Pelodiscus sinensis: one gene and its partner. The protein of the gene in region 1 binds, or shares a complex with, the protein of each later gene. Links are inferred from orthologs where the notes say so. Each region holds a gene or a part of one and is shown on either strand. Other genes may lie near its edges.

Region 1 (6,954 bases):
GGGGGCGGGGGGTAAATGCCAGGGCCCCCTCCCCTCATGCCATGCTCCACCATAGAAAACCTGGGATGTGTCTGCAAGATAACACAATTGCCTCCCCTCCACAGTGATTCCCCCCTTTCTTCCCTCCAGGACTCCCCAACTCCTACCACCATAGAGAACCCAGGGGGAGACTGGGGAGTTCAATGTGGGAACACAGCCAGGGCTCCCTCCCACATCCTGGAGAAGCGAGAGCTGAGAATACTGTCAGCTTTTCCTCCCCATGCAGATGGAGAGGAGAGAGGAGGTCTCAATTTCCTTCCCCTTCCCTCCATACCATCCCCGGAGGCAAAGGGGACACCCAGAGGCTCACAGTGGCAGCTGCAGGTCCCCTTACAGACAGGAAACCCCCAGCTCTCCCCGAGGGGTATCCCAGAGGCTGCAGCAGGGTAGGGAGCACACTGCTTTACCTTTTGCAGCGGTTGGTCCCAAAGAGATCACGCAGAGTCTCCTTGTCCAGCAGCAGCTCTGTAGCCTAGGGGAGAAAGAGAGTGCAAGGGATGGAATCAGACAGAGCCTAGACACTGCCCCTCACAAGGCCTGTGGGGCTGCCTGGTCTCCAGACGTCCTCTGACCACAACTCTGTTGGTGTCAGGGAGATGGCATTTGGAGGCAGAACCCCGGAGGCCTCTAATGAAGGATGGGGTTCCATAGTCCCTTTCCCCACAGTCCCAGAGCAGGAACACCCCCCACTTGGAGCAGGGGCTGGATCTGAGGACAAGGGGAGGAGCAGAGGTCAAGACAGGACAGGCAAATGGTGGTGTGGGAAAGAGAATTAGCCTGAATCTGGGCTGTGGTGCTGGTTAGGGGGGAAAAGGGTCAGAGAGAGGCATACAGATGAGGGGAGGGAGGGGGAGGAAATGGGAACTAATCCTGAAGAATGATGCCACCAGCTGGCACATGGAGGCATGGATTGGGAGGATGTTACCTTTCCAAAGGCTCCTGTGGGGTCAGCAAGCATCCGCACCTGGGGGGGAAGGGAGAAAGGTTTAGGGAGCCAATGGGGAGGTGGCTGTGAGGCAGGGGCAAGGGCTAGGAGTGTCAAGTGCTACACCCAATCCTGGAATTACACAATCTACAGGCCCTTGCACAACCAACAACTCCTGCCAGGAAGGGAAGTGCTCCTGGTAGCCTGGATGAGTCACCCAGGGGTGGGGTAGGGCTCATGCAGCCTTGGGGTTAGGTAACATCTGGATGAGGGAGAAGAGACTCCTCCTCTGCCCCTTGAGACTCAACACCATACACCCCCTATAAAGACACTGCTCTGGGCCTTGACCCCTGCTCACTCCCCCTGCCCAGGAACCCCTAGTCCCACCAACCTCGCTCCCCTTGCTATGGCCCTGGTACACTGCACATTCCCTTTGGCTGGTGTCCTCACCAGCCCTCCGCTCCTCCAGGCTTTGGCATTGCGGCCCTCTCATCCTGGGTGCCATAGCTCAACTTCCACACTCACTCCTGCCTTGCCCCCCTTCATTTCCCTTGCCTTGGGCCCATGGGCCTTGTCCCCATCCCTCCTGCCCCTGCCCTTGCCCTGAGCTCCATGGGCCTTGTCCCCATTTACCCCTCCCACCTTGGCCTGAGCCCTCAGGGCCTTGCCCCCATGCCCCACCTTTCTCTGAGCCTTGTGGGCCTTGCTCCCGCTTTACCTTTCACTTGCCCTGAGCCTCATGGGCCTTGCCCTTACTTCTCCCCTCCCCCCCTTGCCCCCCCGACACACACACAACTTGCCCTGAGCCCCCTGGGCCTTGTCCCCATTTCTCCCTCCCACCTTGCCCTGAGCCTTGTGGGCCTTGCCCCCACTTCTCACCTTGCCCTGAGCCCCGTGGGCCTTGCCCCACTCACTCATGACAAAGACATCATTCACAGCCAGGCAGGCAATCAAGTCCATGCCCTTGGCCTTTAGTGCTCCGGCCTGCTCCACATAGCCTGGCAGGTGGGTCTGAGGAGAGCAAGAAGAGCATTAGTTTCCCAGCATGAGAGCAGAGTGGGGGGAGCATTAGACATCAGCCCAAGGAACCTCCTTCACCCAGCATGTCCCTCAGCACCCAGGGAGGGTGCTGGACAGGATATACTGAGCTCATATATGTGTCCCTTTCTCAGCGCATCCTGTGAATCCCTTCACTCCAGGGATGGGCTTGGGAGGAGGGGTGCTCTGGTGGATGAGTTCTGAGGAACTGGATGGGAATGGGGATACTCTGAGGAGTGCTTGAAGGCACCTTGGGATGGGGGCTTTTAGGGAGCAGGGAGCGGAGTCTAGGATAGGGATTACAAAGGGTGAGTGGGGGTGCTCTAGAGTCGGTGTGTATTCTAAAATGGGTAAGGTAGTGGGGGGGGGGGAGACAGGGAACTGCGGGGGGTCTCCAAACCTCACCTTGGAGCAGCCAGGGGTGAAGGCACCAGGCACCCCAAAGAGAATCCCCTTCTTGCCCTTGAAAAGTGCTGCCACATCCACTTTGGTATCAGGGTCTCCCTCGTACACCTCCACACTGGGCAACTTGTCTCCAACCTGGAGGACACAGAGGATGAGAGCTGGGGGAAGCCTTGCCATGTCTCCTTCCACCCCACCACTCAGGGCAAACATCTTCCCACTCCAGTGCAGGGGGTAGGAGCTACCCACACTCAGGAATTCCAACTAGGAGCCTGTTCCTCTAGCCCCAGCTATAACCCTCCCACCTCTGTCCCAGCACCAACAGGGCATGACTAGAACAGATGCAGATGTGGACCCTATGCAGCTGAGGACCAAGGGGGGGTGGGGTCTCCCTTCCCATCCAGCCAGCTTCCTGTCTCAGAAGCTGCCCCCCAGGCCTGGAAAGACACCCCTCCAGCAGAAGCACAAAGCCTATGATGAGCTTCCCCTTGGCATAGGGAGAGCCCCATGTGCACCCCTCAGTTGTGTCTATGTGCAAGGGTGCTGTCACAACAATCCAGGGCAGGGAGCAGGGTAGAGACTCAGTGACTCAGCACCTCTGCCTTGGAGTTTCCAAACAGATTACTCAAGCTCATAAGTTAGACACCTCCCCCAGTTCCCTGTCCCTCATACCCACCCAAAACCTTCTGGATTGCCATGTGTACTTCCCTTTAGAGATGTAATAGTATAACTGTTTGAACAGTTACGTGATAAGTCTGGGCTTATTAGTTACCATCAACAGTTACACACAAGCTCCCAGCCCTGCTCCCAGGGAGCCAGCTGCCCCCCCATGCTGTGGGCTCTATATCAAGAGCCTGCAGCACAGGGCAGCAATGAGCTGCCTGGGAGCAAGGCTGAGAGCCACACACTGGCTCCCAAGGAGCTGGCTGCTGCTGCCCCTCCGGCAGAAGGGCTGTAGGCGGAGCTGGTGCGAGCCTGGAGCCAGCTGAGAATTTTCAGTGGTTACAGTTGCTTAATTAACTGTTTTTAAACAGCCCTATTCCCTTTCACATCCAATAACCCTCCCACCTCAGCCTGCTCATCATCCCCCCACAATCCCAACCAACCTCCACGTCCCCCACTATCCCTTACAATCAACCCACCATCTTCAGCTCACACCTACCCTTCCCCCAGCCTCTACCCTGTTTTCCCTCTTGCACAATCCAGCTCCCTCTGCAGGCATGTATGAGGGTGGGGGGAGGAGGTAGAGAGGCGGGGAGGTTTGTGCGAATGGTGCAAAAGCACCCCCCAAGTGAGCATGCTCCAGCCAGCCAGGGGAAGGCTGGGGCTGATTTCCCACTTACTTGGGGGAGCCATGGGGGATGCATTCACACCTTTGTGGTGCACATTTACAAAAAGGCACCCACACCCACAGAAATTCCTGCATATGGGCCTGCTCCGACCCCAAGCTCCCCCCACTCCTGCCTCCCATTTCACCCCATAACCGAGCTCCCCTTCTCTGCAGCCTAACCCCTCCCCCATTTTCCCCTTCTCCATCCTGCCTTTCATTCACCCCCCACCAGTCCTTTCTACTCCCAACTTCTCCCTGCCCCCTAGATCTGGAGGGTGTGGGGCGCTCGGGGCCCCCTTGTTAGGCAAGAGCCCTGGGGGCACGGACACAGGTTCTAAGGATCCCGAGGCCAGGCTGGCGAGGGGGAGCCCTGATTCGGGAGGGGTGGCTCCGCTCGGGGCCCCGGTTCTCTGGCGGGGGCCCCGGCCGGCGGCTGATTTAAGGGGAGCCCAGACAGGGGCGGGGCAGGTTGGAGGGTTGAGGGCCCGGTGGCCCCTCTCACCGCCCCGCCCGCTCTCACCTTGACGGGCGCCATGACAGCCGCTGGGCTCGGCAGCTCCGGATCCTCTGGGCTCGGCGCCGGGGGCCCAGCCTGCAGCAGCCCCCGCCACACCCCTCAACACAGTCACCATGGAGACCGCCTGAATGACAGTTGCCAAGGAAACGGCCGGGGGGGGCTGCCACCTTCAGGGTGGAATGGAATGCCCATGCGCCGCAACCCACAAGTCTGTGTTTGCATAACATTTGCATATCATAGGTGGCTCATTTGCATGACAAGTTTGTACAGTGTTTTTTACACAGATTGATTTTGATTGGTAGCGCGGCATTAATTTGCATACAATTAACACAAGCTTTGTGATTCATGGCTGCTTTTCTTCTATCTTGTGCATATACTTAAATCAAAACTGCATGTAATTTGAATATTATTTGCATACATCAATCCCTTTGTTTCCAGTCCAATTCTTCTCTCTTCCCCTTTGGGACGAGAGGCCCAGTGGAGTAGCCGGGATCCCTCGGGGTGGCGCTCTATCTCCGCATCTCTCCGGAACCCTCAGCTCGGGCCCCGTGTTTCCCTTCCAGCCGCCGGATCCTTTTGAGTAAGGGACATTCCAGTCGGAAGCAGCGTTTGTGCGGGGGGGGGGTGCGAATTGAACCGGAAGTAGCCAAGTTTTGGCTTCCCACGTGAGTACGCGAGCGGCGCCCTGCGCGGGAGCGGCGCGAGGATGAAGCTGCTGACGCACAACATGCTGACCTCGCATGTGCGGGGCGTGCGGCCCGGGGGCGGCTTCCCCCTCCGTATCCAGGTAACAGGATCCTCCAGCAACCAGGGGCCCACGTCTGCCTGGGCTGATTTCCTCCCCCCATAGGCCTGATGGGGCCCCGGCTGCGCCTCATTGGCTCTTCCGCTCCCCGCAGGCCACCGAGGTGAAAGTGAGTAACGTGGACTTCAACCAGGAGTTCGTGGCACGGATGATCCCCAAGGTGGAGTGGGGGGCCCTGGTGGAGGCTGCTGAGAGCGTGAGTACGGGGGAGGGGCTAGCCCGTTCAGGGCATGGGTGGGAGGAGCTTGGCAGGGGGAGGAGCTCACTCTGGGCGCTATCATGGCAGATAGGCAGCATGGATCTGCACTGCAGCCTTTGGGGGGATTGGAGAGAAGTGGTTTTGGGAAGCATCTGAGTCGATAAGAGCAAACCCTCTCTTCTGGTGCAGCACTGTGACATGGATCTTCCTCCTCCTACAGCTGGGCCACCTGTCAGACCTGCCTCCCCAGCTGCCTCCTGAGTATGAGAACAATGAAGACTTCCTGAAGAAGGTGCATCATGTGCTGCTGGAGGTGAGATTCTTCTCCACAATCCTTGTCCACAACCCCCCACCAGCATCCTGTGTGGTGCAGGGCCCTGGCTCCCAGGCACCACAAAAACCCTGGCTAAGGTTGTATGACAGGGGCCTATGATACAAACACAGATCCTTTCCTGGTCTGGCTGAGACACCGGGGAGTTATCCACCCATAGAGACACTAGGGCTCCCTGGAATCCTCCAGCGTGGGGGACCTCTTTCAGTTGTTGCTCTTGTTCTAAATGTAAGCCCAGGGGACCCACTCACAGTGAGAGTATGTTGATAGTGCAGCGCATTCTCCCACTGCTCTAGCTGTGTGTTGAAATCCACTCTCATGGGTTCTGGCAGTTCAGCAGACACTCTAGCACTTGGATTATATGATCCTTTGGCTTTTGCAGAGCATCCTGCCCCCTCCCCAACTGCTAAGAATCATGAGGTGGTTAGGGAGTTGTGACTTCAGCAAAACACCTCTAATCTCAAACATTTGAGAGGGGAAAACTGGTGTTCTGGGGAAGTTCCAGCTCTCCCTTACAGCATTTCAGGTCTGGATTGGGTAGAGCCAGGGCACAGGCTGTCCACTGTAGCTGACCCGTGATTATTCCTCACACACAGGTGGAGGTGATGGAAGGTGTACTGAAGTGCCCTGATTCTGGCCGGGAGTTCCCCATCACCAAGGGCATCCCCAACATGCTGCTAAGTGAGGAGGAGACGTGAAGGGCCTGGGTGTCCAAGACGGAAAGATGGGGTAGGGGAGCTCCCTGAGGTGGGAGGGAGAGTCCTGTATGATGTAGAAGACAGTCTTTGCTTGTTTGGTTTGTGTATAAATAAAACTATGAGGTGGAGCCTGGCCTAGGGCATATCATCTATTAATTGTCCCTCCTCCCCTGCTGTGTCGCTCAGTCCTAACCTGCAGCTCTCAGCTATCCCAGCCCTGGGCTTCCTCCCACCCACTGTTGTGCTGGCGACTTTCTGTTCTAGTACCATCTCCATGCTTAGTCCTGGGTCTGTCCGAGCATTGACCTACCCCACACCTTGCACCGAACTCTCTGTTCCTCTTGGATAGTTATTTGGTTTGCAGTGGTACCTAGGAGTCCTAGACCTGAAACAGATCCCCCAGTGGAGTGGGCACTGCTCAGATACCCAGTCAAGAGCAAGGCCTCTAGTGGGCTAGGTGCTGCACAAACACAGAACAAGACAAAGATCCTGCTCCTTCTTAACTGCTAGGAAGGAAGACTGGACACAGACTGATATCTCCATGGTTTATTCTGGCTCTGGAATATAGCTCTATGTATGTGTGTGTATAGCACCTATACACAAAATAGAGGTATTTATAATATATACACATACATAATTTAATACAAACGCCCTCCATGTCACCCCACTT
Region 2 (7,891 bases), on another chromosome or scaffold:
GCTCCCCTCCCTGCCAACTGTGCCAGGAGCTCGCAGAGGTTCCCCAGCCAGGGCCGCCTAGCCACTCTAGCCCCTCTACCTCCAGCGGTTCCTCGGGGTCTTCAAACCCCAAGCCACCCAGCCGCCACCAGTCCCGCAGCTGCAGCCCAGACCCGTTGCCACCGAGAGTTTCCTGGGTTCCCAGGGTCCCGCTGGTCCTGTTGCCAGAGGCTCTCCAGCCGCTTGACCCCCCTGACATCGAGGGTTCCCCAGTCAGGGCAGAGGCTCCTCAATTAAGGTTCCCCTGCTGGGGCCAGGACCCTCTGGCTGCTGCTTGGCCCACTGCTGGGGTTCCCTAGCCAGAGCTCCCGAGCTCCTGCCTGGCCCCACTGTCTCCGGGGGTTTCCCAGTCAGGGCTCCCTGGCCATCCCAGCCCTGCTGCTGCCAAGGGGTTCCCTGGCAGTCACCGGCCTCACTGCCAGGGGCTCTCCAGACTCCTGACCCCACTGACACTGGGGTTACCCAGTGTGGGTGAAGCTCCCAGATGCCACCTGATCCTGCTGATGCCAGGATTTCCCTGCCTAGCCTCTGCTGGCCCAGCCGGGACTTTGCAAACCCCAGGCTCTTTCAGCTGGCTCCCAATCCTGGGCTAGTTGGTCCAGCAACATCCGTGCTGGACCACAAATGTTGCTGGACCAGAGAGTCCCAGATTTGGGAGCTTTAACCTGTACAAATACATAATTCAACCCACCATTAGTACTGAGACCCTCTATCCTCTCTCATATAGACTCTCAGCCCAAAAGCTTTCACAAGGACACATGGCTTTATGTGGGGAAAAAAGGAGACAGATCCACAATACAGGAACTAAACCAAAATATTCAGAAACACAAACCTCAGACCTCACGTAGCCCTGCTATCATCATATAGAATCTTGCCACACTGTAGCAAAATAAGCCAAGAAATCACGGGGAGCCAGTTTTTTGGCAGGGGGTTGGTGGGAGCAGGGGGCAATCGGCTCTCTGGAAGCCAGTGCTTGCAGGGAGCCAGTTTTTAAGCCAATTCCTTGCAAGCGCGCGCGCGCACACACACACACACACACACACACACACACACGTTTCTGTAGGAGGGAGCTCCATAGGAGCTGGCATGTGCTGAGTGGGGGGACTGTATGTAACCATGAGAGTTAACGGATGAGCCCAGGCTCACTGGTTAACCAAGTTCACAGGAACACATTACAGGCAGTCCCCGGGTTACGTACAAGATAGGGACTGTAGGTTTGTTTTTAAGTTGAATCTGTATGTAAGTCGGAACTGGCGTCCAGATTCAGCCGCTGCTGAAACTGATCAGTTTCAACAGTGGCTGAATCTGGACACCAGTTCTGACTTACATACGGATTCAACTTAAGAACCCCAGGCATCCCCAAGTCAGCTGCTGCAGAAACTGATCAGCGTCTGATTCCAGGAAGCCCGGGGCAGGGGCTTCCTGTAGTCAGCTGCTGGTCAGTTTCAGCAGCGGCTGACTTGGGGACGCCTGGGGCAGAGCAGCTGGGGTGCTGCCGGGTTGGTCCAGTAGCGCCCAGAGCGGCGCTATGGGACCAACCGGCAGCACCCCAGCTGCTGTACCACAGGAGTCCGGAGCAAAGCCGCGGAGCATGGGGGCAGCGGGACAGCCCAGACGCGCCGTGGCTGTCCTGCTGCCCTCGGGCTCCGTGGCTTTGCTCTGCTTTGCTCACCGTCTCCCTGGTCTGCAGACCAGGGCGACGGGGAGCAAAGCGGCGGAACACGCGGGCAGCGGACAGCCCAGACGCGTCTGGGCTGTTCGCTGCCCGTGTGTTCCGCCGCTTTGCTTCCTCTCCCTGGTCTGCTGGAGACCAGGGAGACGGCCCCGTTCGTAACTGTGGATCCGACATAAGTCGGATCCGCGTAACTCGGGGACTGCCTGTACATTCACATCCCTACTAAAGAAGACTCAATATAAACTAGAGTTTTATTATAGAGATTTGGAAACCTATACATTCTTGTACCTCAAGCTCCACTTCAGAGAATTTCAGATTACCCATAAAAATTTTACAGGAAACAGTGTTGCAGAAAGAAGCCACTCAATAGCTACAACCCACCAATGAAGCATCTGCAAAAACTGTTCAGCAGGATAATTCAATCCTATGTGCTATTTACACAGCTTTTGCAACCAGTTATGCCTCTGGGGACAAAACCCCAACAGAAATGGTTCATCTACAATTCTGTAAATACTCCATTTTTGTTAGAACACAAAAAGGGTCATTCTGGGTCAGACCAATTTTCCATCTAACCCAGTATCCTGTCTTCCGACAACAGATGATGCCGCATGCTTACGAGGGAACAGACCTGGGCAAATGTTGAGCGATCCTGCTACTGTCATCAATACCAGTATGTGGCAGCCAGAGAGTTAGAGACACTCTGAGCATTGGAGGTTTTGTGCCCCTGCCCATCTGGACAAATAGCCATTTGGGGACCCTCCTTCCCTGTTGCAGTCATCAGATGTAATAAACCCAATTCCCTCTCCCCCAGCAATGAAAGTAACTTACAATGTCTAACATGGGACTGTCCCATTGCAACCCGGGTCCCTGCCGGTCTGTAAATAGCTCCCTGCTGGCTTTTGCGGGACCTGCGCCCCGGGTGGCACCCGCTTGCCTCGCTCCTAACCCACCTACAGAGGAGACGAGCGAGCCTGTAGCTCCCACAGGAGCCAGCTCGATGCCAGGCTAGGACAGGACTGGCCCAGGCCCCAGCCAGGCTCGCGGCAGCAGCCGCCCCCGCGAGCGGCGAAGGCGGGAGCGGACCAGGGTTGAGGTTCGCACAAGCCCCCACGAGGCTGCACTGGAGAAGCGCCCCTCCCCCACCAGCTCCTGCCCCGAAGGCGGCACGTGCCCAGCAGAGGCTGCCCCGCCCCCTGCTCTTACCGGCAGCCGGAACTCCAGGTTCTCCTGCGCTAGCAGCAGCAGGTAGCGCGACAGCGGCCCGCGCGCCATGGTACCAGCACCGCCCCCGCCTGCCAGTATTCCTCCGCCCAGCCCCGCATGCGCCGCCGGGGAGGGGGGCGGAGCCCGGGGTGCCGGGGTGGGCGGGGGCTCGTGCAGGCCGAAGCGGGGCGGGGCCGGGCCGGGCAGGGGCGGGGCCTTGTTTGGCCCGTTACGAGCTCGCGGTGGCTGCTGCGGAAGCCTGGCGGAGGTTGCCCCAGGAGCTGCCCCGGGCAGGCTGAGGCCTCGCAGCTGGCGTTGCTGGGAGAAGGGAAGCGCCGCGGGGCGGGTCCATTTCCGGGGTGCGGGGGAAGGAGCAGAGCGCAGCGCACGGGGCGGGGGCTGCTATGGACGAGGCTGCGGGAGGAGACTTCCCAGAGTGGTTTGGGGCTGCGCCCTCTGTGGTAACAGGAGGGAAAACCGGGAACCTGACGCCCTGGCATGAGGGTGAAATGGGAACGTTCAGGGTAGAAGGGGGAGCTTGTGCATAATGGCTTCATAGGTTCAACCCCGGCGCCGGAGCGTTCTTTGGAGTACTCTTGCCTGCAAGTAGTCAGGGAAGGCAGGATGCCCCCAGGGCCACAATGCTGTGCCATGAAGAAGCTGCCCAGGGATGGGATTTGCCACATTGATGCTGCAAGGCAGCACTGGGAAAGGCAGCTTCAGAAAAGAGATTGTAATTGGATTGTAAAATGTAGGAGCCCTAGACACAGATATGACCCAGTGTGCTCAGCATTGTACAAACAGAGAGATAAGATAGGCCATGTCCTAGCCTAGACAGTCTACAAGCTAAGTATAAGGCAAAGTATGGAACTAAAATCCATCTTTTTATTCCTGTTTGGATGTCCAAGTAGACCCTAAAGATCCAGTTGCAGCTTTCAAAAAGATGTAGGTTACCTCTCTTGTCCTGGCTTACAGCCTTCTTTCTCCATCTGAGGGGGGGAAAAGGTTGCAATGTCCAAATGATGTTTGAGTTCTTGTGCTAAGCTCACCAAAGTAATTGTTTCACTACCACTATCTATTGTTTGGTAAAATACTCTGTAATGAAGTAGGGACCATGTTCATTACATGTATATTTATTCTCCACTCCAGTTTTGCTCCACCCCAAAAAAAAGTGAGAGAACCAGTTAGAAGCAAGATCATGTTGGCAGCATTTGTGCTATATAGGCAGTATTCTAGCAGTTCAGGAATTGTTACAAAAACTTTTCATGCATTTATGTAGCTTTCTGATTCTGACAGCTGTTTTCAGCACTAGATAATTAGACTTGCAGGGAGTAGGTTCATATGCTCCAACTGAGCTCCCATTATTGCTAACAATGCCTTACAAGCAATGGTAGAACTTAGTTGTAAAAATATTCTAGTAAAAATAAATCTTAAACTCAGTGTGGAAGGGACAGTTTTCAAATGCTTTGTACAGCTCCTCACACTTCATTGATGTGACATACAAATGTTACAATATAATACTACCTTAGAGGTTGGAAATGCTCTTGAGGGCTGGGCTTTCCCCTCTGATGGACAAGAATTAGGGATTTGAATGAGTAGTCAGGTATACAGTTAACTGATAACCCTAGGTTTATACAGAGACAGCAAGGGGGAGACCAGAAGCCAGTGCTAGGGGGAGCTGGCTTAAAAGTTGCTCCCTCAGCAGTGGGCTCTGTGTTGCTGCCTGTGCCACCCCCTGCTGTCTTTTATTAGAAGCAGCAGCACAGGGGAGGGGAGGAGGGCCGGGGAGGCTGCCATGAAGCAGTCTCTGTCTGTGGCGAGCCTGGGCTCACTACGGGCAGAGGCTGCTTTGCAGCAGCAGCCCCTGTCCACAGCGGGTGCAAGCTCCCACCAGCAGACTCTGTCTGCAGGGAGCTTGTATCAGAGGCAGCAGTGCAGGGTGGCAGGCAGCCAATCCACAAGGAGAGCTGGTTTTTAAAATGGCTCTCCCATGGCCCGGCTCCCAGCTGGCATTCTGATATAGGCAGCAGTGCAGGTTGGCAGGGGCTCCCCAGGAGCGGGGCCAGAGCACACTGGCTGCTGATCCTGCCCCTGGGGACTATAGAATAGTCAACTAACCACTAAGAATTCATGCAGGTAGTTGACTATTTTATTACCCATTAGCTAAAATCCCTAGCAAGAATACCTCATGTTGCTAACCATTGACACCCTCCCGCTGACTAAGGAATGGCACAATCTAGATTCTGTCTGAAAGATTAACTAAATAGCATTGACAGTTTTTATGAAGAGAGTTGCATTCATTTTTCTGTACAAAAGAGGACAGTAGCTATTACATAAAGTTGTGAGGGTGAGAAGTGAACTGTGATGGGAAAAATGGAGAGAAACTCAGGATTGTGACAGACATGAAGGCCCCTTGGACAAAAAAAGGCAGACTTTCTTTCTCTTTTTCTTAAAGATTTTTTTCTCCTGTGTTTTGGGTTAATTCCCCCCCCCCCCCCCCGCCGCCGCCGCCAACGTGTAGAAGTGATTATATTCCTACTGTCTGGGGTCTCTATTTGGTCACCGAAAGGTTTAGCTTATCCAGATTTCACTAAGCCTTTTATTAGTACTAGGCCATTTCCACACAACTCCTATTTTGCAGCTTTTTTTGGTCATATGATAGCTTTTCTTGTAGATTTTAAGAACTTGCTCGTGACTTCTAAGTACTCTATGGACTGCATTCCTTATATATTTGTGTTCAGGAGTTGGAAAGAGCTGGTGCTGGCTGACACTACAGTAGAACTTAAATAGTTACCTTGTTTTCTGCAGTATTTAAACTTTTACTTTAAAAAATCTAGCCCTTATATACTCAAAATAATTTTAAACTTGAACTAAGTCTACGGACAGAACAGCTTTGAGAGAGATCAGCAGGGCTCGACAAATAATGGAATCTGCATGCTCCTGGCGAGTAGATTGCAACCCGGAAGAGCTGGGTTTGGGAGATCTGCGCATGCACAGAACGAGCTACACATGCACAGATTGCTAGACAGCGCAGCTGGCGAGTGGGGCTCACTGTGGTTCGGCAAGCCCTGGATATCAGCACATCTTTGTTTCAATATCTTAATGCTGAAACCTAATTTTTGACATATTGTTTGTCAATGTTACTAACTTTCCCTGCTAATGATTTAAGCAGAAATCTCCAGCCAGGGCCGGATTAAGGCATGGGCTAGCCGGGCAGCTGCCTGGGGTTCCAACCTATGGGGGCACCTGATGGCAGCTGTAAGGAGTGCACAGCACCCCTTATAGCTGCCATCAGGCGCCGCATGCCCGGTTCCCGGATCGCGGGCTGCAGCAGCTCCCAGTGGCCACCCTGCAGCAGCCGCCCGCGGTGGGAGCCACGTTAACCCCCGCAGCACCGGCCAGCAGCGCCCTTCCCGCCGCGGCCGTGGGGCCCTGCACGGCCAGACTCGGCCCGCCCTGGGCGGCCCTGGGCTGCGTGCCAGCGGCAGAAGCCGGGCTGGGTCAGGCCGGGCATGTGCGTCCTGCCACCGCCAGCTCCGCGTGCCCTCCCCCATACGCTGGGTGGGGGCCGGGCTGTGCATGCGCCCTTCCCCACATGCCAGCGCGGGGGTGGGGCTGCGCATGTGTTGTCCTCCACGTGCCAGCGTGGGGGCGGAGCCACTCATGCGCCCTCCCCCAACCCAGGGCGCTGGAATGGCTCAGTCCGGCCCTGTCTCCAGCTAGTCCAGGGTTACTGACAACAGTTTAGAATTGCAGGAAGAGACTGAGCAGAAGGTAACCTTTTATTTTTCCAATCTGACCCATTTGAGATTTTTTAAACCATTTAGTTTCTACCCTGGTATTTTGTAAGTAGGAGTTATCTGATCCATTATTTAAAATTAAGCTTTTTGGAGAGATGATTTTCTCTTCATGTGCTTCTCATCTTACGGAATATGTTGTTTTCTGTTTACAGGGAAAAAAAACAGCAAGCAAATGGTCTGATAGCACTTTATAGACTAACAAAACATGTAGATGGTATCATAAGCTTTCGTGGGCGCAGCCCACTTCTTCAGATTTAAAATGTTAAACATGTCACAAACAGCACTGGATAAGCTTTTATATTTTTGTATTTTAATACATGAATGAACTGCATGCACATGTGCACACAGATACACGTTAGTATTAACATATAAAACTTTGTTTTCATATTGTCATTGTTGACATCAAACAAAAGCATAAGTTGAGTCTTTGTAATGAATATTACTCAACTCTGCTTTTGAGAGCATGTCTAATAGCAAATATTTATACAGAATGTTTGATCCTGAAAGAATCCAAACAAATTCCCACATTGTATTTTATATGATACTATTTTCCTATGGTACTACTGAAAAGTAGTCATTTTGAAGATGGACTATGACAGCCACACCAATAACATTTCATAATTGATTTTAGGAAGGGAAATGAAGAACAATCCCTCTTGTTTTTGCCTACAGGGTAATTTTAGGTAACCAATATGTAATTACCCAAATTGGAATTTGACTAGTGCACTGGAGTTAACACCCTGTCTCTTATAACAAGTGCCATGAGATCTTATAATGATCACAAGTTTGAATGAGGGTGAGAGAAATCTTCAAAATGCTTCTCATGAACAATGATTGAACTCACGCTGTTGTTTTTTCTAAATGATATTTCATAACCATTGTGTCATTTTAAAAAGAAATCCTCCTGCATAATTCCAGAACCATTCATACATAAAACACTTTAGTGACGTCATTCTTTTTTCACCCAGAATTACTTCATTGTGAGCATAAATTCATCATAATTGGCATTGAAATGTACAATGGACTGAAACAATTTAGAAATGCTATTTATTATTAATGGAAAATATCTATATTGGAGTTCACTGGAAGCAGCACTGCAGTCTGCTCATGGACAAACAGACATGACATTTTAAATCATAGGAGAACACACAGAACATCCTCTGATGCATTCAGT

What was found. The genes of interacting proteins can lie anywhere in the genome.
Region 2: TRMT112 (region 1) and TRMT11 share a complex: the UniProt entries of both Homo sapiens proteins name them as parts of the heterodimeric TRMT11-TRM112 methyltransferase complex. The link is inferred for Pelodiscus sinensis from reciprocal best matches to the Homo sapiens genes TRMT112 and TRMT11.

What each region holds. Positions count from the first base shown.
Region 1 is NC_134721.1:33,162,299-33,169,252, forward strand, and holds TRMT112 (multifunctional methyltransferase subunit TRM112-like protein), read left to right. Parts: upstream 1-4,850; 5' UTR 4,851-4,957; coding exon 4,958-5,038; intron 5,039-5,150; coding exon 5,151-5,252; intron 5,253-5,475; coding exon 5,476-5,568; intron 5,569-6,182; coding exon 6,183-6,284; 3' UTR 6,285-6,445; downstream 6,446-6,954. Other genes in the region: PRDX5 (peroxiredoxin-5, mitochondrial), read right to left, coding at 447-511, 965-1,003, 1,844-1,975, 2,408-2,542, 4,255-4,269. UniProt on the Homo sapiens protein: Acts as an activator of both rRNA/tRNA and protein methyltransferases. Together with methyltransferase BUD23, methylates the N(7) position of a guanine in 18S rRNA.
Region 2 is NC_134713.1:89,807,036-89,814,926, reverse strand, and holds the start of TRMT11 (tRNA (guanine(10)-N(2))-methyltransferase TRMT11), read right to left. Parts: upstream 3,010-7,891; 5' UTR 2,987-3,009; coding exon 2,918-2,986; intron 2,842-2,917; exon of another isoform or gene 2,555-2,841; coding exon of another isoform or gene 2,543-2,554; intron 1-2,542. UniProt on the Homo sapiens protein: Catalytic subunit of the TRMT11-TRM112 methyltransferase complex, that specifically mediates the S-adenosyl-L-methionine-dependent N(2)-methylation of guanosine nucleotide at position 10 (m2G10) in tRNAs.